7 linked regions of the Macaca mulatta genome follow. The main gene of each other region encodes a partner of the protein of the gene in region 2 in a complex. Links are inferred from orthologs where the notes say so. Each region holds a gene or a part of one and is shown on either strand. Other genes may lie near its edges. The genes, in order: CWC22, SF3B5, SF3A3, DDX46, CWC27, PHF5A and SF3A2.

The links.
Region 1: SF3B5 (region 2) and CWC22 share a complex: the UniProt entries of both Homo sapiens proteins name them as parts of the minor spliceosome. The link is inferred for Macaca mulatta from reciprocal best matches to the Homo sapiens genes SF3B5 and CWC22.
Region 3: SF3B5 (region 2) and SF3A3 share a complex: the UniProt entries of both Homo sapiens proteins name them as parts of the 17S U2 SnRNP complex. The link is inferred for Macaca mulatta from reciprocal best matches to the Homo sapiens genes SF3B5 and SF3A3.
Region 4: SF3B5 (region 2) and DDX46 share a complex: the UniProt entries of both Homo sapiens proteins name them as parts of the 17S U2 SnRNP complex. The link is inferred for Macaca mulatta from reciprocal best matches to the Homo sapiens genes SF3B5 and DDX46.
Region 5: SF3B5 (region 2) and CWC27 share a complex: the UniProt entries of both Homo sapiens proteins name them as parts of the minor spliceosome. The link is inferred for Macaca mulatta from reciprocal best matches to the Homo sapiens genes SF3B5 and CWC27.
Region 6: the proteins of SF3B5 (region 2) and PHF5A are in contact, whole or in part, in a cryo-EM structure (PDB 7EVN), measured with the Homo sapiens proteins. The link is inferred for Macaca mulatta from reciprocal best matches to the Homo sapiens genes SF3B5 and PHF5A. Residues at the interface, in NP_112577.1 of Homo sapiens: Arg4, Tyr5, Thr6, Ile7, Gln10, Leu14; in NP_116147.1 of Homo sapiens: Pro6, Asp7, Leu8, Ile9, Phe10, Cys11, Arg12, Ile88, Leu91.
Region 7: SF3B5 (region 2) and SF3A2 share a complex: the UniProt entries of both Homo sapiens proteins name them as parts of the 17S U2 SnRNP complex. The link is inferred for Macaca mulatta from reciprocal best matches to the Homo sapiens genes SF3B5 and SF3A2.

The regions. Positions count from the first base shown.
Region 1 is NC_133417.1:84,939,753-84,943,938, forward strand, and holds the start of CWC22 (pre-mRNA-splicing factor CWC22 homolog), read right to left. Parts: upstream 2,801-4,186; 5' UTR 2,761-2,800; intron 1-2,760. UniProt on the Homo sapiens protein: Required for pre-mRNA splicing as component of the spliceosome. As a component of the minor spliceosome, involved in the splicing of U12-type introns in pre-mRNAs. Promotes exon-junction complex (EJC) assembly.
Region 2 is NC_133409.1:49,348,244-49,350,573, reverse strand, and holds SF3B5 (splicing factor 3B subunit 5), read left to right. Parts: upstream 1-1,137; 5' UTR 1,138-1,238; coding exon 1,239-1,499; 3' UTR 1,500-1,830; downstream 1,831-2,330. UniProt on the Homo sapiens protein: Component of the 17S U2 SnRNP complex of the spliceosome, a large ribonucleoprotein complex that removes introns from transcribed pre-mRNAs.
Region 3 is NC_133406.1:202,826,384-202,829,883, reverse strand, and holds part of SF3A3 (splicing factor 3A subunit 3), read right to left. Parts: intron 2,725-3,500; coding exon 2,560-2,724; intron 2,448-2,559; coding exon 2,337-2,447; intron 1,117-2,336; coding exon 1,026-1,116; intron 1-1,025. UniProt on the Homo sapiens protein: Component of the 17S U2 SnRNP complex of the spliceosome, a large ribonucleoprotein complex that removes introns from transcribed pre-mRNAs.
Region 4 is NC_133411.1:143,681,062-143,684,561, reverse strand, and holds part of DDX46 (probable ATP-dependent RNA helicase DDX46), read right to left. Parts: intron 1,467-3,500; coding exon 1,323-1,466; intron 1-1,322. UniProt on the Homo sapiens protein: Component of the 17S U2 SnRNP complex of the spliceosome, a large ribonucleoprotein complex that removes introns from transcribed pre-mRNAs.
Region 5 is NC_133411.1:72,813,327-72,817,400, reverse strand, and holds the start of CWC27 (spliceosome-associated protein CWC27 homolog), read right to left. Parts: upstream 2,801-4,074; 5' UTR 2,584-2,800; coding exon 2,542-2,583; intron 1-2,541. UniProt on the Homo sapiens protein: As part of the spliceosome, plays a role in pre-mRNA splicing. Probable inactive PPIase with no peptidyl-prolyl cis-trans isomerase activity. As a component of the minor spliceosome, involved in the splicing of U12-type introns in pre-mRNAs.
Region 6 is NC_133415.1:10,036,557-10,040,806, reverse strand, and holds the start of PHF5A (PHD finger-like domain-containing protein 5A), read right to left. Parts: upstream 2,801-4,250; 5' UTR 2,762-2,800; coding exon 2,710-2,761; intron 2,260-2,709; coding exon 2,236-2,259; intron 1,745-2,235; coding exon 1,578-1,744; intron 1-1,577. Other genes in the region: ACO2 (aconitate hydratase, mitochondrial), read left to right, coding at 3,256-3,291.
Region 7 is NC_133424.1:2,994,037-2,997,783, reverse strand, and holds the end of SF3A2 (splicing factor 3A subunit 2), read right to left. Parts: intron 2,427-3,747; coding exon 2,377-2,426; intron 2,298-2,376; coding exon 2,157-2,297; intron 1,575-2,156; coding exon 1,506-1,574; intron 1,413-1,505; coding exon 612-1,412; 3' UTR 501-611; downstream 1-500. UniProt on the Homo sapiens protein: Component of the 17S U2 SnRNP complex of the spliceosome, a large ribonucleoprotein complex that removes introns from transcribed pre-mRNAs.

The sequences.
Region 1 (4,186 bases), on a different chromosome or scaffold from region 2:
ACCGTGCTGTCTTCTGGGTGGTCTCAGGTACAAGCCACTGTAGGTCATTCAACAATGTTCAATCATGGGGAAGGAGAGTTAACTTCTTTTCTTTTTCTTCTTCTTTTTCTTGAGACAGAGGCTCACTTTATCACCCAAGCTGGAGTGCAGTGGAGTGATCTCGGCTCACCGCAACCTCCGCCTCCAGGTTCAAGTGATTCTCCTGCCTCAGCCACCCGAGTAGCTGGGGCTACAAATGCACAGCACCACACCCTGCTACATATTTTTGTATTTTTAGTAGAGACAGGGTTTCACCATGTTGGCCAGGCTGGTCTCGAACTGCTGATCTCAAGTGATCCGCCTGCCGTGGCCTCCCAAAGTGCTGGGAATGCAGGCATGAGCCATCGCGCCCCAACAGAAGAATTAACTTCTAAAAATTCAACAGCTGGGAAAGCTAATAGAGCTAAGAAAGCTCGCTTAGAAAAACCAGGTAGTCTAGGAAGTGTCAGAACTCCAAAAAGTGATTGGAGGTAATCTATCCAAAGCAGGGAAGGATGTGGTGGCATAATAATAAATACTGGCTGGCCATGGATCAAGTACTTTGGAGCAAGGAGGGAAACAAACCTGATTCTGAGGACAGGGGGAGGATGAACCATAGCATGCCCCTAAAAGATGGGCTAGAGCAGAAGTTTTCAAACTAACTGGCATGAGAATCACTCGAATGCTTTGGCGCAAAAAAAAAAAAAAAAAAAAAAAAAAAAAAAAAAAACTGTTGGGCCTGCATTTCTACGTTTCTGATTCAACAGAACTGGGTGAAGCCCAGTAATTTACATTGCTAATAAGCTTCAAAGAGATGTTGCTGATTCAGGAGACCACATTTTTGGAACCACTAGACCAGGGTATTAGATCAAAGTTCTTGGCCTTTAACTTATAACCAAGACGGTCTCAGAGCCCCAGTCAATTGAGTTGGGTAAGACTCCATAAAAGTGGCATGGACACTTAAAACTAGAAGGGCACTGGCCGAGCGCAGCGGCTCACCCTGTAATCCCAGCACTTTGGGAGGCTGAGGTGGGTGGATCACGAGGTCAGGAGATAGACACCATCCTGGCTAACATGGTGAAACCCCGTCTCTACTAAAAATAAAAAAAATTAGCAGGGCGTAGTGGCTGGCGCCTGTAGTCCCAGCTACTCGGGAGCCTGAGGCAGGAGAATGGTGTGAACTCGAAAGGCGGAGCTTGCAGCGAGCCAAGATCCGCCACTGCACTCCAGCCTGGGCGACAGAGTGAGACTCCGTCTCAAAAAAAAAAAAAAAAACCTGGAAGGACACTTAAAGGTGGAAAGGCAACACTCAGACCCAGAGGGCAAGAACTGAGGCACAGACAGAACTCATCAACTGTATCATAGTAGCAATTTACAATAATACAAAGCTAACACTGTATATCAGGCACTGTGCTCAGTGCCTCATCTGCATTATTTTCTTTATACTCAAAAAAAGACAACACAGTGAGGCAGGTATTGTATTATTACCTACATGTTTTCAGATGATGAAGCTGACTATATATAATAGAGACTTTAACTTGCTCCAAGTGACAGACCTAATAATAGCTAAATAAAACTGAAATCTTTGGTCTACTAGTCCATCACCCAGGACCAACAAAAGTAGCTTTCCTCAACCTACTGATAAGGCCTGTAACAAGGCTTCTCCTCTCCTGGTCAAAACCACACTTTTAATGTCAATTTTAAATCTGCCCTTGCATAGTAGGATAATCTGTGTTAACTCCTGAATTCACAAGCAATCCTACAAGAAGATAAGTCTAAATACGGATAAGAGGTAGGATAACTGATCTGCTGAGGACCCAATTTGTTTATCTGCTATTTCGAGTCTCTGCACATCCAAAAATGCAAAGGAAACTCTTACCTAATTCTTGCATCTAGAATAGCCTTTCTCCAAATCCTGCCTTCTCCAATTACCTCAAAAGAATTGTTAGGATTAAGTGGAAATAGGTATGGTAGTTTTTGCAGTTAAACTCAGTGAAATTAACGATTATATTTCCGTTCTATAATGCTGTGTTACAGGACCCAAAGCTCCTTAGAGAGGTGGAGTCTGGACACCCAAGTTTAGCAGTTATTACCTCATTGGAGATAGTTCAAGTTATGTAAGGATCAAGAATGACAGGTGAAGAGGACACAAGAGAAGCGAAGCGTCTTCAAAACTAAACTCCAGAAACTATCAGTATTTACAGGGCAAATAAATGAAAAAGAAACCGCTAATGAAACGTAAAACAAATAGCCAAAGGGATATAACGCCGGAAAGAGGCATAAGAGTGCAAGTACTTCAACTAACTTTTAATCAACTAGAGCTCATTAATCCCACTCCCCAGGCACTGGGAAAGGGGCTTTGGCAAGCCCAATGGACTCCAGAGGCTCTAAGTATAAAACACACTGCACACGAAACAACAGAGCACCAGCGTTGGTGCAGGACTTCAGACAGCTGCAGGAACCTCACAAGGAAGGTCAGCCGGTCCGCTCAGGCAGTCAGTCAGTTCACCGCAGCCCATTCGCTCCCCACCCGCTTGGACTCCTCGGACCCAGCCACTCTCACACCCCTCTCGCGGGCCCGAGCGTGGCGGGAAGACCCACGCACACTCCAATGCCGCTCACAGCCGTATCAGTGAGCCCGCACCCACTCCTCAGGGTCTTTCACTTCCCACCCAACCCGGCAACCCGCCACCCCCGCTCCGCTTCGGTGCCTACGGGGACTCCGCGGAGTTCGATAATTACCTAAAGCTGCACCGCGCCGCCATTACACCGGATGTACGTCACTTCCTCTTCCCGAGCACCGACAGTAGGAACAAGGCAGATACTGAAATACATAAAAACTTGACGCTCAATTGGCTTGACGCGTTATCCTTTTAATTTATTTCAGATACCATATCATAATGCCAGAGTCAAAGCAGTCGATCCAGGCACACTGTATTCTTATCAAAATGGCGACTAAAAAGAAGTTGGCATGAACTACAAAGTCCGAAATCCAGCACCTGTGCTGACGGAAATGACGAAAGCATAATTGTAGTTTAGCGGTGAAATGGCGCGGTGTACGATGGGAATTGTAGTTCATACAGATGCGCGCCAGCGAGTTAACATCCACGCTGCTGACTGGCAGCCTAGCAGTGTTTAGGGTCTAGGCAAATTTACTTTAATCTAAAAGTATTTCACTGCATTTTGGGAATTTTTTTTTTTTTTTAGTAGTCAGTTGTCACTTTCCTTGAAAATCTTAAGTGAGAGATTTTCTTGAGACTTTTTTTTATAAGAGTTTGACCAAGAGTCAAGTGCCTAATAAATTCCAAGACATCCAAGCCAAGAGAATGGGAGAATATTAGATCATAAATAGAGTGAAATAATGAGGAAAAAATAATTCTGTAGAGACTATGTTGCCTGTCTTTTAAGTTAAGGTACCAACTGGTATGACCTGAGAATAAGGAGATTGCCTGGCTGAGTAGGAAGTAGCAGTTTGTACAGCATACAGAACTAGGGCATCAAACAAATTGTTTCTTTAAACTTCACTTTTCACTAGTAACAAAACGTAAAAGTTCAACTACTTACTATTTTGGAAACTCTCTTTCTAAAACAAGAATATCTTTATGTTATCAAATCTTTCATAAACCAGGCCTGATTTCTCCACACACTTCTCTATTACAGTTTTAGGGTGCTGTGCTTCCACTCCTTTCTGGAGGCAAAGTGTGAGAATTAAGAATAAAAACACTGCAGTTGGACTACTTACGTTTGAATCTTGAGTCCTTTGATTATTTATGGATGATTGGGGCAAGTAACTTCACATTCTGTGGCCGTTTCCTGATCTGTTAAATGGAAATACTAGTAGTACCCATTCATGCAGTAGTTGTAAGAATTGAATTAGTTGATTCACAAGATACGTTTAAGATAATTGCTAGTATACAATAGTGTTATCTATTTTATTTCATATTTAAGATATTTGGCCATTGTTGATGGTGCACTTTGGTGTACCAATACAGGGCACAGGAGATGGATCTGGAGATGAACATTTGTATTTATATATTTAAAAACCCACAATACTATCTGTGATGGTTAATTCTGAATATCAACTTGATTGGATTGAAGGATGCAAAGTATTGATCCTGGGTGTGTCTGTGAGGGTGTTGCCAAACTGTTGACAACTGTTTGTTGTCAA
Region 2 (2,330 bases):
AATAGTTGTTATACTGTATTGTTTAGGGAATAATAACCTTAAAAAGTCTACACTTCAGTACAGACTGACTTTTTCCCCAAATATTTTCAATCGGGTCGGTTGAATCCACAAAACCCACTGAATGGAAGGGCCAAGTAGGGTGCAGTGAGGCCTTGGAGGAAGGATATCAAAATAAGTGGCTAGAGGGGAAGGAGGAGCTTGAGGTGGAAGCCGGAATGTGTGGGAATTGGTGCTGTACTTGCTCACCAAGCACCCTGGTTAGAGCTGAAATAACTCTTTTATGCCACAGACTCCTAAAAGACATAGCTGGGACCAGAACTTGTGCCTGCCGACTTCTGGGTAATCCATCCCTGGTTGTGAAGGGATGGCTGTGCTACCATGATAGCTTTGGAAAACACGGAGAGTTTATTTTCGGGGCTGCTTGTAGTCCAGTCCTACTTGGGTTTCCCATTTCCCATCAGCCCCAAGCCACCCACGGATGCTCCCCACCTCCCAGACATCACCCTCCACTAGGTCCCCAGATCACTTTTAAAACGCGACCAGGGGCCTGGCGCAGTGGCTCACGCCTGTAATCCCAGAATTTTGGAAGACCGAGGAGGGAGGATCACGAAATCAGGAGTTCGAGATCAGCCAGGCAAAGACAGTGAAACCCCATCTCTACTAAAAATACAAAAAAAAAAAAAAAAAAAAAAATTGGCCTGGCGTGGTGGTGTGCGCCTGTAATCCCAGCTACTGGAGAGGCTGAGGCAGGAGAATCGCGTGAACCCAGGAGGCGTTAAGTTGCAGTGAATCGAGATCGCGCCATTACACTGCAGTCCCGGCAACAGTGCGAGTCTCTGTCTCAAACAACAAAACGAGACCAGGAGTTCCAGAAGACTACGAGCACGAACTCCCAAGACCACAAGTCCCAGCATGCAAGGCTCCCTGTTGGAAAAGGGCTTCCCATAGCCACCAAGTGGACCATCATGCAACGCTCTCTGACGGGGCGGGGCTCTCTACAGGGGCGACACACTTGTGGCGTCGCCTCGGCAACTCCAATTCCGTGACAGAATGTGCTTCCGCTTCCGCCTTTGAGCCCTATGAGCGAGACTTACGCTACTTAGTCGTCGTGACGCCATTCTTCTGCGACGGCGCGGGCCTGGAGCTTCCGCACGGTGGCCTCACTCCCGCGTGAAACGCCAGAGCGGCGGTTTGTTGTCTGCGTCCTCTGTCCTGGGAACTAAGGGGAAAGCGGCGAGATGACGGACCGCTACACCATCCACAGCCAGCTGGAGCACCTGCAGTCCAAGTACATCGGCACGGGCCACGCCGACACCACCAAGTGGGAGTGGCTGGTGAACCAACACCGCGACTCGTACTGCTCCTACATGGGCCACTTCGACCTTCTCAACTACTTCGCCATTGCAGAGAATGAGAGCAAAGCGCGAGTCCGCTTCAATTTGATGGAGAAGATGCTTCAGCCTTGTGGACCGCCAGCCGACAAGCCCGAGGAGAACTGAGACTCTGCCTTACCACCACTGTGCGGGGCACCTCTCCCAGTGTTCCTCAGGTTGGCCAATCCCTTCGACTATTTCTGCCTCCAAAGGACCGGCTCTCCATGGCTCCTGCGTCTGGTACTTCCGCGTACAGAAGTGCTTGCCCGGGGAATCCCGCCTGACCTGCCTTCATGTGAACCCTTTGGAATAGCACTGGGAGACCAGCAGAACTCCTGAGAACTGTGCTGGTGAAGAGGGCCTAGAGCCGGCAAGCGTTTGAGAAGAGGGCGTGGCGCTGGAATGAGATGGGATTTGGCGTCTCATTTTTGGCTAATTGATTGTCATTGGCTTTTTCCATAAAGTTTAGAAATCATTAAGTCTCTTGGTGTGAACTTCCTGTGTTAGGGTGGAGGGCTCCTGAAAGACCCGAGCGGGAAATGGGTCGGGGGAGGGAGTGCATGCCAGTGTCCATGATCAGGTACTTAAATCCACCCTGTCTACCATTATAATTAATTCCCCGACTGCCACTTCTCCCAAGAGCGTTATTTTCAGGCCCACAATGCCTTCAGTATTGAAGTTTGTAGTTATTGTATCCCATTTTCTTTTTCTCCCGTTTTAAAAGTCTTTGCAGTCTTTGCTGTCATTGTCCTCCTTAGCCTCTTTAAAATGCATCCTTTCTTTTTCTTGGGAATTTGTGGCCATGTCTCCAGAAATGACAAGCTGGCAAGTGAGTTCATCCTTTCTATATTCAACAAATATTTGTTGAGCTCTATGTGACAGGCATTTTCCCATGTTCTTGAGGCTTACATTATGCTGGTGGTGGAGAAAGGAGGTCAAACACTGTAGACGTAATAA
Region 3 (3,500 bases), on a different chromosome or scaffold from region 2:
TCGCACCATCACACTCCAGCCTGGGCAATATGAGCGAACTCCATCTCAAAAAAAAAAAAAAAAAAAAAAAAAAAAAAAGCAATAATTAGGTGCGGTGGCTCACGCCTGTTATCCCAGCACTTTGGGAGGCCAACGTGGGTAGATCACTTGAGGTCAGGAGTTCGACACCAGCCTGGCCAACATGGTGAAAGCCCATCTCTACTAAAAATAGAAAAATTAGCTGGGCGTGGTGGCGCTTGCCTGTAATCCCAGGCACTAGGGAGGCTGAGGCAGGAGAATTGCTTGAGCCCAGGAGACGGAGGTTGCAGGAGCCAAGATTGCACCACTGTACTCCAGCCTGGCGACAGAACAAGACTCTGTCTCAGAAACAAAACAAAGGCTGGGCGTGGTGGCTCACGCCTGTAATCTCAGCACTTTGGGAGGCCAAGGCGGGCAGATCACGAGGTCAGGAGATCGAGACCATCCTGGCTAACACTATGAAACCCCATCTCTCCTAAAAATACAAAAAATTAGCCAGGCGTGGTGGCGGGCGCCTGTAGTATCAGCTACTGGGATGCAGAGGCGGGAGAATGGCATGAACCCAGGAGACGGAGCTTGCAGTGAGCTGAGATCGTGCCACTGCACTCCAGCCTGGGTGACAGAGTGAGACTCCATCTCAGAAAAAAAAAATTAGCCAGGCACAGTGGCGCGTGCCTGTAGTCCCAGCTACTCGGGAGGCTGAGGCAGGAGAATCGCTCGCACCCAGGAGGCGGAGGTTGCAGTGAGCTGAGATCACGCCATTGCACCCCAGCCTGGCGACAGAGCGAGACTCTGTCCATCCCAAAAAAAAAACAAAAAAACAAAAAACAAAAAAAAACAACCACAAAACAAAAAACAGAAATGCAATAATAATACAACTGTCTCAGATTTTACATATCCACAACCTACTGCCTTTAATCCTGGATACACAAGGTATCAGGATGCTGACTCGAAGGAGGACAGGCCATTTGTACTGGCCTAGGAGACAGTAAATAAATGTTACTTACAGGAGACAGCATCTTCAATCTGTGTCACATTAGCAAAGTGAGCAGTGTTTGGGATGCCCAAACACCTCATGCCATGAGCGTGACGCCATTCCTGGGAGAAGAGAGAAGCAAAAGGATCATGTGAAATGGGAATAGCTGAACACACAGAGCACTAACTCCATTCTACTCATAAATCCTAACGTGGCCCTTTACAAGACTCCACCGAAAGGCAGCATTCCTTTTGTGTTTCATGTTTGTAAACCGCTGGCTGTGACTGACAAAAGGCTGGTATTTCAAAGACACATCGCATTGTTTGCCTCACTGGGTTGGCTTGTAAACCTACATTCCAGACCCAGTAGTCTTACACATAAAACCTCTGGGTCAAGATCACAGGAAAATATCACAACTCTAACTACATCTCCCATATTGCGGGAGAACTCACCAAAGCCCCAGCAACTCCAAACACCTGCATGAATAGGGTTACTAATGGCAGGTCAGCATCATCTTTGTAGGTAAAGGAGAAGACTTTTATCAGGCACAACGATGTGGGGAGGAGAGAGCAGGGAGATTATACACTGACATGATGGCAGTTTTAGCTAAGGGATGGTAAATGGCACAGGCTTTATCTGGATGCCAACTCCAATCATTGTAGGAGGTGCTAGGAAGGATTCAGAACTCACTCATGGGCTCAGCAAAAAAGACCCAGGATCAATTAGTAATATGTATGACTCAGAGAGGGGGAGAGGAGTTCATATAAATTTGTCATCCTTGGTCTAGCATAAATCTTTTCCATTCTGTAAAATGTCCTTCCAAAATCTAAGAACTAAAAGTAGAGCCCACTTAGAGATGAGCCCACTTACAGCAGTACCACCTGGACAATACCTTGTCTCAAGAATGGTTTGATAAAGATCAGCCCCTTAATTTTTTTTTTTTTTCTCAAGAGGCAAAGATCCATTTATGATCTGAAAGAGGTAAGTCCTATTCTTGATCTTGAGTATTAGTAATGGGGTAGAGAAATAACCAAGAAGTCAGAAGTTGGTCTAAAATGCTAGCAGAACGACAAAAACAGAGAAGCGTTAAGAGCAGGCAAGAGAAAACCAAGTAAGGTTTAAAGAGCAGAGTGGTAGAATTCCTCCAGAAACTATCTCAGGTATTTAAGACTAACATTGGTGCCAAAAGTCAAACACCATGGGCTTGATTTTAAAACCATCCTTCTCTGATTCCCTTCGGCTCTGGACACCAGAGGTCCACATAGGCTACTTCTACTCTCTTTCTCTAAAAGTCTCATGTTTTTACTTCAATTCCCAGAAAAAATGGCTCTGAATTCCTTACAGCAAAGTGTCGCTGGAAGGCTTTGGGTCCTCGGTAGGTGTAGTTTCCACAAATCTCACAGTTGTAGTTGATATTTAGGCCATGAAGTTTATACAGCCAGTAGGGAATAGGCTAAAAAAGAAAAAAGAAAAAAAAAAAAAACAAGAAGTAGTGTTAGCCTACTAAACTCTGTATCTGTTTCCAAAATAGGGAATGGGGAGAAAGTGGTAGTTCTGAGACTTACTTTGCCATCCCAGCCAAGTGGCAGGTTTTTGGGGTTGTAAATGATCTCGTTCTCTTCATCTTCACTCTCACTCTCACTGATCTGCTCTTCTTCCTCCTCTTCTCGCTCTTCTCCTGTCCTGGCTTGCTTGCGCTGTACATTTTCATGAGTGAGATGTCGCTGTTCCTAAGGCAGGTCCATAAATGAAAAGTCAGAAAAAACTAGTGCAGAATAAGAAGGGAAATTTCCTGTTTTCCTACAACTTTTGCTGACCCCTTACTTCCAAAGATAAGGTTCTTTCTTATAGAATAAAGGAAAATCTTGCCTTCATATCAGAACTCCTTATCAGCAGGCTCTACCTGAACCCAAAGCAAAGAGTAAAAGGTTTTACATTACTTGCCTGATTACTCATCTGAGGCTATTGTAGAACAACAGAAAACAGTCTCATCTATTCTGACTCTAAAATATTTCCTGGCTGGGTGTGGTGGCTCAAGCCTGTAATCCCATCACTTTTGGAGGCTGGGGTGGGAGAATCACTTGAGGCCAGGAGTTTGACATCAGCCTGGGCAACACAGGGGGATCCCATCTCTACAAAACATTTACAAATTGGCTAGGCATGGAGGTGTGCACCTGTGGTCCCAGCTATTCAGGAGGCTGAGTTAGGAGGACTGCTTGAGCCCAGGAGTTTGAGGATGCAGTGAGCTATGATACCACCACTACACTCCAGCCTGGGCAACACAGTGAGACTCCATCTCAAAAAAAAAAAAAAAAAAAAAATGCACCCAATACAGGAGCACCCAGATTCATAAAGCAAGTCCTTAGAGACCTACGAAGAGACTTAGACTCTCATACAATAATAATGGGAGACTTTAACACCCCACTGTCAACATTAGACAGATCAACAAGACAGAAAGTTAACAAGGATATCCAGGAATTGAACTCAGCTCTGCACCAAGCGGACC
Region 4 (3,500 bases), on a different chromosome or scaffold from region 2:
TATGTTTATTCTACAACCAAGCACTTTCACTTCTAGAAATGCACACTAGGAAAAAGTTATGTGCATATATACCAAGAGATACACACACAAAAGCTAATAGCCCAAAGGTTAAAACAAACATCCATTTTCAGCAGAATGGATAAATTATGGGATATTTATACCACAGAATACTACTCAGCAACGAAAATGAACTACTGCTGTAACATGTGAATCTCAAACAATGTTGAGCAAAGACACATATGAACACATGACTCCATTCATGTAAAGATAAAAAGAAAACATAAATCTAAATTTTTTTTCCAGATGCAAACGCAGTTGTAAAACTATAAGGAAATGAAGAAAATTACTAGCACAAAAGTCAGCAGTGGTTTCACCTAGCAGGTAGAGAGTTAGGTCAGAGAAGATAAATGGAGGACTTACGGGATACTGACAATGTTTTATTTCTTGACTTTGATGGTGGGCATATGATATTTGTTTTATAATTACTTAATAAACTACATGTTTTTTTTTTTTTTTTTTTTTCTGAGACAGAGTCTCACTCTGTTGCCCAGAGCTGGAGTGCAATGGTGCCATCATCTCAGCTCACTGAAACCTCCGCCTCCTGGTTCAAGCATTTCTCCCACCTCAGCCTCCCAAGTAGCTGGGATTACAGGCACGTGCCACCATGCCCAGCTGATTTTTTTATTTTTAGTAGAGATGGGGTTTTACCATGTTGGCCAGCCTGGTCTCGACCTCCTGATCTTGTGATCTGCCTGCCTCGACCTCCCCAAGTGCTGGGATTACAGGCATGAGCCACCGCACCCAATCCTAATAAACTGTATGTTTATATTTTGCTCACTTTTTCTGAATTTATATTTTGTTTTTAACTGAAATAGAACTTCCAGAATGGGCAGAGTGGCTCACACCTATAATCCCAGGACTTTTGGAGGCCTAGGTGAGAGGATCGCTTGAGTCTACAAGTTTGAGGTTAGTGAGCTATGTTCTTGCCACTTCACTCCAGCCTGGGCAACAGAGTGAGACCTTGTCTGAAAAGAAAATGACAGAGTTTCTACAAAGATGTCTGTAAAATACATTTCCGATCAATAGTATGTATTAAATAAGAATACAATGTATTGACTGTTAAAACTGACAGAATCTAGTATTTTCCAGCTGAATTACAAACATTATAACCGATTAAAATAAAACATTGCCAACAGTTCATGGTAGGAGCCAAATACAGTTAATTCTCTACAAAAATAAATTTAAAGGAAAAAAAAGAAAGGCGCAGAGAAGGGAAGCAGTCCCCAATATGCATTATAGATGGAGCCCAATGATAACATTACCTATTCTCAATTTTCTTGCTTTTATTGCCAGGACTGGAGGATCGGGATCGCCGGCCCCGGCTTCTACTCCTTGAGCGTCTCCTGTCTCTACTTCGAGATCTTCTTCGCTCTCGGCTTCTGTCTCTCTCTCTACTTCTGGAACGTCTGAAAGGGGAACACTTTTCATTTATTCTATGACCAAATGGAGTTACTATTTCAAATCAGGATTCTGTCCCACATTGAAAGAATCTTAATTACTACCATCATTAAAGGCAGAGATCTCAATGAAGTAAAGCCAGGTCTTACAAGTGCTCAATGAAAGAAATGAGAATACTAATTTTTTTTTTTTTTAGACAATGTCTCAGTTCTGTCACCCAGGCTGGAGTGCAGTGGCACAATTGCAGCTCACTGCAACCTCTGCCTTCCAGGTTCAAGTGATTCTCCTGCCTCAGTCTCCCCAGCAGCTGGGATTACAGATCTGCACCACCATGCCAGGCTAATTTTTTTTTTTTTTTTTTTTGGAGACAGAGTTTCACTCTTGTTGCCCAGGCTGGAGTGCAATGGCACGATCTCGGCTCGCCACAACCTCTGTCTCCTGGGTTAAAGCGATTCTCCTGCCTCAGCCTCCTGAGTAGATTACAGGCATGTGCCACCATGTCCAGCCAATTTTGTATTTTTAGAGATGGGCTTTCTCTATGTTGGTCAGGCTGGTCTCGAACTCCCATCAGGTGATCTGCCTGCCTCAGCCTCCCCAAGTGCTGGGATTACAGGCATGAGCCACCATGCCAGGCCAGAGAATACTAATTTCATAAAGATGTTTGTGAAAAAACATAATAAATCTGTAATTAACATCGATTTAAAATTGATGGTCTAAGATAGAATATCTAGTTTCAGATAGCCTAAACCTAAGTATAAGGATGGGCATAATGGGGCTACTAAAAGATCACTGATCTGAAGATGAAGAGGCAAGAATTTCTATCCTACCAGCTACTCCTGGTAACTAATGACATGATACAGGTCAGATCTCCAACTTTCTGGGTCTCAGTTTCATCATCTATAAAATATGGAGACTTCACTTGACATCTTTGAAATCCTTCTTGCTCTAAAATCTTTTTTTTTTTTTTTTTGAGATGGAGTCTCGCTCTGTCACCCAGGCTGGAGTGCAGTGGCCAGATCTCAGCTCACTGCAAGCTCCGCCTCCCGGGTTCACGCCATTCTCCTGCCTCAGCCTCCCGAGTAGCTGGGACTACAGGCGCCCGCCACCTCGCCCGGCTAGTTTTTTGTGTTTTTTAGTAGAGACGGGGTTTCACCGTGTTAACCAGGATGGTCTCGATCTCCCGACCTCGTGATCCGCCCATCTCGGCCTCCCAAAGTGCTGGGATTACAGGCTTGAGCCACCGCGCCCGGCCTGCTCTAAAATCTTATGATTCTACTTTCACACCAAAAAGTCAAAGACCAAATGTTAAAATAACCATTTTCACTTAAGTACTTGAATTGTGTGAAATTGTACTAGGACCACAAAATGTGAAAATGAATTAGTTAGCACTACCCACATTGTCACGTGAGAATTTTTTCCTTGAATCCTATGTAATACCAATGTACTCCAATGTCTGAAAAGGATGAAGTTAAATTCTTTCTGTGATCCACTCACAACACAACCTTGTCTTCCTTTCCTATTTTAATGAGAAACTGGGCAAGGTATGGTATCTCATACCCGTAGTCCCAACCTTTTGGGAGGCCACTAGCAACACAGTTAAGACCCCCATCTCTATGAAAAGCTGTTTTTAATTGGCTGGGTGTGGTGTGTACAGAAGATTACTTTCTATTTTTCTGTTACGAGATGGAGTCCTGATCTGTCGCCCAGGCTGGAGTACGGTGGCACCATCTCGGCTCACTGCACCTCTGCTTCCCGGGTTCAAGCAAGTATCCTGCCTCAGTCTCCCGAGCGGCTGGGAATACAGGTATGCACCAACATGCCGGCTAATTTTTTTTTTTTTTTTTGAGACAGAATTTTGCTTTTGTTGCCCAGGTTAGAGTGCAATGAATGGCACAATCTCTGCTCACCGCAACTCCACCCCCACGGGGTTCAAGTGATTCTCCTGCCTCAGCCTCCCCAAGTAGCTGGGATTACAGGCATGCACCACCACACCTGGCTAACTCTTTTTTTTTTTTTTTCAGTAGAGACGGGGTTTCACCATG
Region 5 (4,074 bases), on a different chromosome or scaffold from region 2:
CTCTTAAAATTCCCAATTAATACTTTGATAATATCATGTTTCTTATAAATATATATGCAAATATACTTATAAAGCCATTTTGATTTTCAATACATTTAAAAACTAAGTATGTACAACAATAAGACAGACCCCTATCATTTGAAAGCAACATTATGCTAAGTGAAGACGCCAGACACAATTTAGAATAAGTGATCATAATATGTGGAAATTTCATCTTCAGGGAATTACCTCTTATGCTTAAAAAATTTCTATCAAGTACTATATTTCTTTGCCTCATCTTCAGGGGCTAGGGTTACAGCAAAACACAGAACATTTATGGACAACCAGGGACCAAGCACTGGTATCATTATCAATTACTTCCCAAGCTGATACTAAGCACTTTGAAGGGAGGAATTTTGTCCCATTTACTCTGAATGTCTCTGTACCCTTTCAGTACCTAATGTACCATTAGATAGTCAAGGCAATAAACATTCATTGAACAGACTTATTACATTTGCTTCAAATTCTTCACACACCAAATTTTTGTCCACACTCTCAACCTTACAGAACTTAGAAGCTTTAATATCTTTGATGAGCCTTATGGTGGAAAAAGTCCCAAGTTGTTTTTGGATGAAAACTTGGGCCCTTGTGTTATCATTCAGCCCATTTCTGTTCAGAAGACAGTATTTATCACATTTTGTAGTTAAACATTTATTTGCATGATTATTCAGTCAATGTATACTTCACTCAATTAACTCATGATAACTCAGACAATGTGGTTTTTTTTGTTTCCGTTGTATCCCTAAAACCTAGCATAGAGCCTGGCAATTGATTTGCTCAATCATTATTTGTTGAATGAATAATCTATTCAGGAATATATCCTTGTTAAAGCTTTTCATCTATGTGACCATGTCAAATCTTCCTTTACAACAAAGCAATTAAGTCTGTCCTTGACCAGCAGCAGTGTAACCTCAAACTCACTGATGCTTAATATTCCTCAAAAAACTAAGAAAAATATAGTATTAATTCATCCATCCATTCGTTTATTCAATACATAACTGTACTCCTTCTATCATGTATCAAGTACTGTTCTAGATGCTTGTCTCTGCCCTGATGTTCCTTGCATTCTATAGGGGGAAGGTAGGAGGAAGGATACAGTAATACCAAATAATTAATAAATACCATGGAAAAAAACTAAAAAAGTTAAGGGGGCCAGAGAATGCTGGGATGCAAGGCATGATTGAAGTTTGCTATTTCATAGAAAGTAGGTAAGAAAGGACTCTTCGCTAAGGTCAACACTTGATTAAATAGAGGAACAGCAAGTGTGAACGCCCTGTCTGGCAGTATGGTAAATCTATTCAATCTCTACCAGTATTTATTAACTGGGGGTGATACTGCCCTCAAGAAACATTTGGAAATAGGAGGAGGTAGGTATTTTGGGTTTTCACATTGATATTAAATAAGATAGGTGAGGGGTGGGATGGACCCAGTAACCTACAATGCCCAGGAGAAGTTCAAAGAATTGAAAGAATTGAGCTGCCCAAAATACCCATTAAATTTTTGCTGGGAATTACAGCATTTTTGGTTTTGCTTTTAAATTGCTCTCATTATATTATCAAATGTCAATGAATAAAAGACTGCATAAATTATTTATGATGTAATCATGTAACGAACAGGATGGTATGTTGTGTAAATTTAGCTTATCTTAATTCAACTATATAATTTAAATCTCATTTTCTCCAATATGCTGATTCATCAAATTTCATATGAGATAGGCTAGGTCTCAATTTAAGAATTCAGGTGACAGTTATTCCACAACGGACTCTTCAACACAAACACCTTGGATGGGAATTGGCATACATTAGCCATCAAATCAATTAGAGGAACCTTTCCCCACTCTAATGTGGTAACAGTCCCCATTTCCCACTTTCTCTGACTGACAGTCATCTCAGGTTTTAAAATCAGCTCAAAAGATACCTTTTCCATGAGGTTTTTCCTAACTTTCCCAGTTGTTCACTACTCAGTACCGCCATAGCAACGTGGTCTCTTCTCCACAAGCACGCTTATCAGACATACAGGCTTTTGTTTACCTGTCTCACAAACTAAACTATAAGCTCTTCCGGGAAAACAACTACCTTACCCATCCATCTTTGTATCTCCGGCGCCTAGTACAGTGCCCAGTGCCTAGCAGGCGTTCAATTAATGATTGCAGAAGAAATGCAGAATGAATGACCTCAAAGTTAAGCAAAGAATATACCAAACTCAGAAATGTACGTTTAAAAACCTAAGACTCTAGAAATCGGTTGCATGAGCTGGGTTAAAGCAGAAAATAGGACCGGAATGCTGGTAGGTAGAGAAATCTCCACCTGACTTTTTCAAGTACGTCCTGAAAAGTATAAACTTCAGTGTTTCGACGCAACATTGTCCACATGCAGGAGTAAAGACAACACTTATCGTGGTCTCTTCCTACCACGAGATCCCGAAACCCGTCCCCCACCCCAAATTTGGGAAATCTCACTTTGGAGATCCCAGGACCCCAAGTTCCCTAGATGAGGCTCTCACCTTCCCATTCGTGGGAGGCTCCTGGATGTAGATGTTGCTCATCCTGGTCAGTACAAAGGACTCTGCTCCTTATGAGGGATTAGAGCGGACGGCCGGTCACTAAAGCTGTCCGCCTAGGAGTACACTCTTTCTTAAGTCGAGTGATGCAGGAAAACTTCAGTTTGTCAATATCACGCAAGACGGGGACACCAAACACTGCCCTTGCCTAAAGGAGCCCCTCACGGACGCCGCCATGTTGTTACCGGACCCGAGCACCGCTAACCCTGAGAAGGGTTATTCCAGTGTACTCCAGGGAACGAGAGAAGTCTGTAAAGTTATTATAGCTTAATGTAATTTGTATTACAATATTAGAAGGGACACTTCATAAGTCTTGGCTGTGTTTACACTACTCGCGTGTGCAGATCAAACTGACCCCCCCCCCAAAAAAACTATCAGTAATGGTTCGGACCATGTGTCTTCTGCACTATGACTCGTCCGGAAACTGCATCCGCGTCTACTGGTTCTGCTGCCGCTAGAAACGTACAGGGCCTTCCTCACCGTAGCGAAGGTGCTGCTGCGCTGGGGGAAGGAAAACGGCGCTTTGGCTGTGCCTTGTTCTCGCAGCTGGCGGGAAGCAAGCGCCACTTCGAAAGCCGGAGGCTCAAGTGACCCCTTACCATCGTCATGGCAGTCCCAGGTAAGGAGCAGTTACAGGGCCTCTGCGTCCGAGATCCGAAGGGAGCACAAGGGAGGGTAGGGTAGGGTGCGGGGTGTGGGGATCAGTGCCCATGGGGACTTAGGCGGAGGCCTTAAAATTCACAGGTTTGTTTTGTTTACATGAAAAAGTTTACACTCCAAAGATACACTCTGAAGGAAAGAAAGTAACTGTCTTCCCCCAGGAGCCAAGCCCCAGCTGCATGGGATTACAGGGAAAGTGTATTGTGGAAGGGAGGGAGGAGGGGGAGACTGTAACTGTGGGCCTAAGGGGGCGAGCAGCCAAGAAAAACTACCTTAACTGTGGTATGGTTTAAAACTAAAATTTGAAGTGGGAACACTTGGCCGACCCAGGTAACCAGAGGCGTCGTCTGTCCTAGAAGTCGCTAGGACCCACCGGGTGTCCCGGTTCTACTCCTAGCTCTTCCTGTTGTATGTAGCTGCTCCGTGGCCATAGATTGGTCGTTTTGTGCTTCTGGGCCTCAGTTTCCTTATAAAAAGAAGGAGCTTTGTTGAATTATATATAAGATTTATTCTAACTCTCAAATTCTGTGTCCAGAAGTTACTGACCTAAAAACGGTGAACTCTGCAGAATAATTACTTAAAAGATTTTCTCTCCTCAACTACCAGCTTACTTGGAAGTTCTAGTAGCTGAGAGCGTCTCCTCAAACTGGCTTTGCCACTGCAGAACAGTGGTTGCAGGAGACATTTTCAGAAATATACACTCCTACACCCCACCTCCCAACTTGGAAATTCACAGTGCGCCTTAGTAATAGAAAAGATTCTGAGAATTACTATGGTTCAGAGCCCTAACTTTGTTTAAACCTGCCCTTCCCAGTA
Region 6 (4,250 bases), on a different chromosome or scaffold from region 2:
ACATGGAGAAACCCCGTCTCTACTAAAAGTACAAAATGGGCTGGGCGTGGTGGCGCATGCCTGTAATCCCAGCTACCCGGGAGGCTGAGGCAGGAGAATTGCTTGAACCCGGGAGGCGGAGGTTGCGGTGAGCCGAGATTGTGCCACTGCACTCCAGCCTGGGCAACAAGAGTGAACTCCGTCTCAAAAAATAAAAAACAAATAAATAAATAAATTAGATAACTGGGTACTATCATTAACCTAGTGAGACTGTATCATACTTCCTTTTGTTTTGTTTTTTGAAGAAAACATGCTGATTCATAGTTTTCCCCCACAAAATCCCTGCTGCCAATACTAAACGAAAGAAATGGGGTAAACCTTGCCTGTAGCACTGGTCTATAAGCTCTCTCTCCTGGCATTTGGCTCAGATAGTTGAATAGTAAGTAACCACTGCCACTACGCAGTGTCAAGGGACAAAAAAAAAGTCATGATGCAGGGCCACAATCACTTCTGCAATATTAAACCAAAGGTACTTGTTACCTGCTTAAAGCTGAAGTCAACTTGAATCGTCCCAAATTCAACTTTGTCACGATATACACCCGAATAGTGCTTAATGATAGATCTGAGACATTAATGAGTGGCTATGACACAACATGGGCTGTACAGGCCTTATAAACAGACAGGGTCTCTGTCACCCAGGCTGGAGTGCAGTGGCATGAAAATGGCTCACTGTAGCCTTGACCTCCTGGGCCCAAGTGATCCTCCACCCGCCTCAGTTTCCCAAGTAGCTGGGACCACAGGTACACACCAGCACACCCGACTAATGAAAAATATGTTTTTCTGGCCAGGAGTGATGGTTCATGCCTGTAATCCCAGCACCTGGTGAGGCTAAGGCAGGAGGATCACTTGAGCCCAGGAGTTTGAGACCAACCTAGGCAACAAGACAAGACCCTGTCTCTACAAAAAAAAATTAGCCAGGTGTGGTGGCGCATGCCTGCAGTCCCAGCTACTTGGGAGGATGAGGTGGGAGGATCGTTTGAGCCCGGGGGAGTCAAGGCTGCAGTGAGCCTTGCACGTGATCATGCCACTGCACCCCAGCCTGGGCCACAGAGCAAGAGACCCTGTCTCAAAAAAAAGGAAAACAAAAAAACAAAACAAAACCAAAAAACCAAATTGTTTTTTGTTGTTGTTTTTGAGATGGGATCTTGCTCTGTGACCCAGGCTAGTCTTGAACTCCTGGACTAAAGTGATCCTCATTAACTTGGACTCCCAAAGTGCTGAGATTACAGGTGTGAGCCACCACGCCCAGCCGGATGTCATTTCTGAATAAAAATAATCACAGAGAAACATGAATAGAGAGAGGGCTCTTCAAATTGCTGGTCTTGACAAAGATTTGCTTCCCTTGCATTTTTCCCCTTGATGCAAAATAACTGCCTTTTATTGAACTACACCCAGTTTGACTCACAGAACTTGAAAAAATTATAACCTAGATGACTAGATGAACACAGTAATCTCCATAGACCATAGGAGATTGCAGTGGATGGCAAAAAAGCAGGAAACAAAAGCAGGAAAGGTCAGATGGAAAGCTGTACACTTACATCCTTCTCCTGGATGGTGCACTCCTTACAATAATACGCATCAGAGACCCCAGGGCCTCCACAGATCACACAGCGTCCCTGGTAAGATCCATAGTTACACTCATCACATATGCGCACCAGAGTGCAGGGACGCACATAGGAGTCACAAATCACACACTTGCCATCACCTGTAAGGAAGAGAATGGAGTCATACTCACAACAAGTTCTTCAGTCCTCTGCTATCTCCTGCCATGGGGAAATACACTAGTCTCCTTTTGACAGTGACTTTAGGACCCTCCTCTTGGCATCACGAAACTTGGTTTACCCAGTATCCATCTCAAGTCCCTCAACATATACAAAAGTTTATCAATTAACATATGTAAAGAGCCTAGAAAATCACCTCAGAGATGATAAGCCTATATAATTGGCGGCAAAGTGCTGTGTATTAGGGAGGGGTCATGCTACTCTGGCAATTTTTCCTGTTGAAAACTAGAGAGATACAGCGTTAAATGTGCAAGTGGCAGTGGGGAGACAGAGGGGCCTTTGGTTGAAGTCCAGCATTCAGTGTTCACATACTTCCAGGCACATCTACTCAAAGCCCTCTTTGTGGCACTTTTGCTGGTTCCACAGAAACTGGGAGTGGGAAGGGTGGGCTGTTGGGACGGAAGGTTCCACTCACATTTTTCACACAGTCTTCCGATGGCTGCAAGATGAAAGATGGTTAAAAAGTACAATTAGAATAAAGGTTTTGACAAACGGGAAGTACATCCTGGAGCTGGGGGTAGGGAAATGAGTACGGACTGCAGTGATACCTGCGGATAGCCATTTTATCATTACAAATTTCCAAATGAACCAAACCCACAGCCCAACCACCCTTCTGAATCTCCTCCAACGTCCTGGGGCAAGCTCTGAGTTTCTGTGGACCTGGCCCAGACCCCACCCCCGATACCTGCCTGGGGCTCCCAGCACGCGCACCCCCGCCCTCTTCTCATCAGCGGCCACAAACCTGTGCGTTCCTACAACACCCCGCGCCCGAGAGGCGGGAAACGTGGCGCCAGCTGGGCAAGCCACTAAGGAAGTGATGGGAACCCCCGACCCCCCAGCTCCTAATACCACCCCTACCCAGACAGACAGGGGCAGGGCGCAGTCTCACCAACACCAGCCTGCTTGCGGCAAAAGATCAAATCAGGATGATGTTTAGCCATAGCTCCCAATTAAGCCGGCCACCGGAAGCTTCGGGAACTTCCGTCCGACCTTTATTTCCCATTGTTCCTGCCTCCACGTCGCTGTGATTGGTCCTCTAAGCTTCCGTCAGTTTACGATCCTTGCACCAGGCCCCTCTTGCTCTCGCGCGAGTTTCTGTCGCTGCTGTGTGGCCAGGTCCTGGCAGGTGCATGAAAGTCTTAAAAACACTCCCAGATTTGGATGGCAGAGATAACTAAAATTTGTTCTTGGATAAAACATATTTGTGCTTGGTATCTACTTCTGCAAGTGTCTTTAGGCAGTTCTATTTCCTCTTGCGTGTCTGTTCATTACTCTTGAGCTCCGCTCATTGCGTTCCCAGGGTTCTGGTGCCCCTAGGGAGGCCTCGCCTTCACCGTGACGCCCCACTCTTCCGGGCACGCCCCTGCCCAAAGGCTTTAAAAGGCGCCGTTTGGGACGTCACTTGCATGCGACCTCATCTTTGTCAGTGCACAAAATGGCGCCCTACAGCCTACTGGTGACTCGGCTGCAGGTGAGCGAGCTCAGGGACCTCTGGGTTCACGGGGGCGGGGTGCCTTCTACTGTGCCGGCGGCTATGGGCGAGGCAGGGCGAGGCGGGCCCGACCTGGGGCCAACTTCTCGTGTACCTGTTCCGGTTGTGGGCCCGGCACCCGTGTCCGCTCCTCTGGTGCCCTAGGTCAAGGCGTCCCCGGCACAGTCAGCTTTCCTGGCCCTGTCCCCGCCTCGCAAGAAGCGTGGGCCCAAGCAGCGGCGGCCGGGTGAAGAGCGGAGGCACCTCTTTCTTCTTTTTGAGGACAGCATTCCCTGCTCCCGTGGGGTGTCTTTCCATTCCTCAAGGTGAGGACAAGGTGACTAGGGGGCGCGGTCGTTGTTGAGCCTTCTAGGCCCAGTTCCTGAGGCCTCACTTCCCATCTCTTAGCAACAGAGACATGACAGCATCTACGGTTGCCAGGCCTGGAGTCTGGAGAAGAAACTAGGACCCTGTACCACCTTTTGAGGACCCTGCGGAACATGGAATGCCCGAGGGGGGGAGGTGGTCTTCTGGGCCCCTACGTAGTAAATAATAATAATAGTCTCTCACGTTTGCACAAGATTTGAGGACTGTTTTTTAATTCTTCATAATATTATTTGATTCATGTAATCATAGGAATGAGATGATTTTTCTCATTTGATAGGTGATAAAACTGGTAGAAAGTAGGTGGAAGTTCTGGTTCTTAGAGTGTCACCGAAGTGCTGTGGCAGAAGCATGGGCCCTACCACCACTGAGTTCTTGTTTATGTCAGCCTGCCCTCACAGAACTTTCTGAACCAGGGTGCGATGATTTCTGTTTGTCAGAATGCAATACGAATATTTTGAGCTCACAGTAAGTTGCTTGTCAAATATGGGAGGATAAGGAGACTCCAGTTTGACCTTGACTCCCCCGTTAGGAGCTATCTAGAAAGCTGACCGACTGCCAGATGATTTTTTCAC
Region 7 (3,747 bases), on a different chromosome or scaffold from region 2:
CTCCCCACAGCGATAGAGCTGGGCCTGATTTGTCAACATGCTGTCCTTGAGGGCCCGTCCCCAGAAGGCACAGGAGTGGGAACCAGGCTGGGAGTGATGGCCAAGCAGCCAGACTAGACAGCGCTGGGGGCGGGGGGCCCAGATGTCCTGGGTGCTAAGGGGTGGGCCTGGAGGAGGAGGGTCCCAAGTCAGTGGGGGCGCCCTGTCCCTGCTCACCTTCCCAACCCCTGGTGGGCTATCTGGAGACCCCAAGGATATCACAAGAGTCTGCTCTTCCCTCCCCAGGACAGGACCCCAGACCCCCTCCTAGCTGGCTGGTGGAGTCTGTCCTCCACCAGGCCACCTCCAAGGTACAGCTGTCTCTCAGGCCTCCCACAGGTGTCTCCCGGCAGGCCCCAGGCCCTCCCCAGTCGGCGCAAACTCAGGGATGGTGCTGTGCCTGGCACTCCCACACAGCACTGACAAGGGAGGGCGGCGCTGCAGACATCAGTGCACTCGGGGCTGGGGAAGGCTGTTTAATGAGCAGGGGGCGGTACAAAAGAGCAGCCTTCTCTCGATGGCAAAAGGCAGGAGCACCTGGCGCTGAGCTTGCTGGGGGAGGGAGCAGCTTCTCAGTTGGTTGGGGGAGGGGGAGGTATGTTCCCTGGGCCTTCGGAGGGGAGTGGGGGCCTCAGCATTGGGGGCATGGGAGTTGGGGGGTGTACCCCAGGATTTGAGGGGTGAACTCCAGGAGGCTGAGGGTGGACCCCAGGAGCTGATGGATGGACCCCGGGAGGTTGGGGGTGGACTCCCGGGGCCTGAGGGTGCATCCCTGGGGCTGGTGGGTGCACCCCCGGGGCCTGAGGGTGAACAGCAGGGGCTGCTGGGTGTACCCCTGGGGCCTGGGGGTGAACCCCCGCTGATGGGGGAGGATGGACCCCCGGGGCTGGTGGGTGGACTCCGGGGGCTGGTGGGTGAACCCCGGGGGCTGGAGGGTGAACCCCGGGGGCTGGAGGGTGGACTCCGGGAGCCGGGGGGTGGACCCCAGAGGTTGGTGGGTGGACCCCAGGGGCTGGGGGATGGACGCCAGGAGCTGGGGGATGGACCCCAGGAGCTGGGGGATGGACGCCAGGAGCTGGGGGATGGACGCCAGAGGTGGGGGGATGCACCACTGGGGCCGGGGGGTGGACCCCTGGAGCTGGTGGGGGTAGCTGGGGTGGTCCCGGGGGCCCTGAGGGTGCAGGCCCCGTGGGGGGCATGGGTGGCAGAGGTAGGCCTCCCGGCGGTGGCGGTGGCAAAGACTCGGGCAGCGGTGGCCGAGGGGGCAGACCATTCATCAGCGGAGGTGGAGGCCGCTTCACCCCAGGGGGGCCGGCGGGGAGGCTGGGCGGAGCCGGGGGCTTCTCCATCTTAAAGTGGAACTGGAGGAAGAACTAGAGAGACGGAGAAAGGTTCAGCAGGCACGGGCAGGGCTAGGGCCACCGGGGCTGGGCAGGAAGGAGCCAAGCTCAGGGCTAGCCACTCACCTGCTTGGTCTCCCGGTTCCAGTGTGTCCAGAACTTGCCCTCCGCCTTGTCAATCTCTCTGCTCGGCACCTGGGAAGGCGGGGGACAGAGAGGGCTCCTGGTCCCTGTGACCTCAGGGTAGCCATCAGGCAGGGAGCCTGAGGCGTTAGCCTCCCCGGCCCGGACTCCACCCTGGGAGCCCAAGAGAAGGCCCCGGCCTGGTAAGACTTTCGATGGGCACAGGGTTCAGTTCTGGAGTGACACAGACCCGGCCTCCACGCTAGCACACGCTGGCCCCCGCCCTGGACAGGCACCGTTTGTATTGTTTCCTGATGGCTGCTTTGTCCAGGCGTAGGCACAGGCTGTGGGAAGCCCTCCAGCAGCCTAGACCAAGAAGCGAGGTCACTTGGCGAAGGCCTCACAGGCCCAGCGCTCAGCCCTGCCGGCCTCCCTTCTCCATGGGCACAGTGGAGCCCAAGCAGGCCCCCTCCTGCAAAGCCCAATGGGAGGGGTACCCTGCCCAGCCTGCACAGACCCTTCTGGCTCCGTCTCGGGGATCCCAGGGGACCCCACAGCCTGATAGGAGGGGCGCCCTGCCCAGCCTGTGCAGATCCTTCTGGCTCGCACATCTCAGGGGGCCCTGGGGCCCAGGGGACCCCGCAGCCATGCTACCTTGAAGGCGATGGTCTCATAGGGCTCAGCGGCCATGAGCAGGTACTGCCAGCGCCGGTCCGGAGGCTCAATCCTCTGCTCGTACGCAGACATGAAGCGGTGGCGTGGCATGATGCCCTCGGCGATCTCAGGGTAGTCGATCTGTGGGGACACAGCCGGGTGGCAGCGCCACCTTTCAGGTGCCTTCGGCCGCCCCCCACACCCAAGCCCCTGATCTCACCTGGAAGAGGAGGCTCTGCTGGCCCATCTCCGAGTCCCTCTGCTTGGTCACTGCAACACAGAAAGCTCTCAGGTCCCGGCTGCTTGTCCTCCCCAAAGCTGAGGGACCTGGGGCAGGCTAATGCCACCCACTGAACGAGGGCGAGACCCCAGGGGAGGCCCTGTGGCTCCAGGCAACCGCCAATCCGCCCAGGCTCTGGGACTCTGGTATAGGTGAAGGCACAGGTGCGCCAGGGCTGAGCTACCTGCGGAGTCACTCGGGCAGGGACCGAGGGTGGTACTCCTTTGTCCTAATCCCCAGAGCCCTTCACCCAGGGTGCTGGGACACTATCCAGCAGGAGTCGGGGCCACTGGGTAGGGAGCGGCCCATGGCACCCTGGCTCTGGGATTAGAGTGGGGCCGCCTGAACAGGGCCAACACCATCTATAGGGTGAGCGGGAGAGGATGCCTTTCCCACCAGAGCTCAGCAGCCTGGACCCCGAGAATGGCTGCTGGGCCGCCTACGGCCTGGCCACTCTCCAAGCAGCCTCAGACACGCACACTCACAAGCCCTCCACCTCCTCACTGCCCTGAGCCCAAGCTCAGGACCTGTCAGGGCCTCCCCACCAGGAGTCTGCCGCTCTAGCCACCCTCGTCCACCCAGCACACCTGCCCCGGGGCCTGTGCCCTGCAGGCTCCTGTCTGGAGGCCAGGCACACAGGCTGTCCCCATCTTCCGTAAAGAACATTTGCTGGGGCCGGGCGCGGTGGCTCATGCCTGTAATCCCAACACTGTGGGAGGCCGAGACGGGTGGATCACGAGGTCAGGAGATCGAGATCATCCTGACTAACATGGTGAAACGCCGTCTCTACTAAAAATACAAAAATTAACCGGGCGAGGTGGCGGGCGCCTGTAGTCCCAGCTACTCGGGAGGCTGAGGCAGGAGAATGGTGTGAACCCGGGAGGTGGAGCTTGCAGTGAGTGGAGATCACGCCACTGCACTCCAGCCTGGGCAACAGAGCGAGACTCTGTCTCAAAAAAAAAAAAAAAAAAAACACTTGCTGGGTAGCGTGCCCGCCTTCCTGACCCTACAGACACAAGGTCTGTCTCTTCCACCCTGGCCGCTTCCCTGGCTTTCTGAACCAGGTCACCTCCTGCCATTCCCACTGCTGAGGGTCCCGGAGGAGCCGCCTCTAACAGCCGCTTCTTCCTGTCCTCCTTCAGAGGCTTCAAGGTTAACCGGAGGAGTGTGCCAGGGCTCACCACACCTCCACTTCCACTCTTTGGCTTGGCAAGACTCCCCAGAAGCTTCCACAACACTCGGACAGGAGGGCACAGACTGTGGCTCAGCTGGGAAAGGGGCCGCTGGGTGAGACGGGTGCTTATCGGGCTC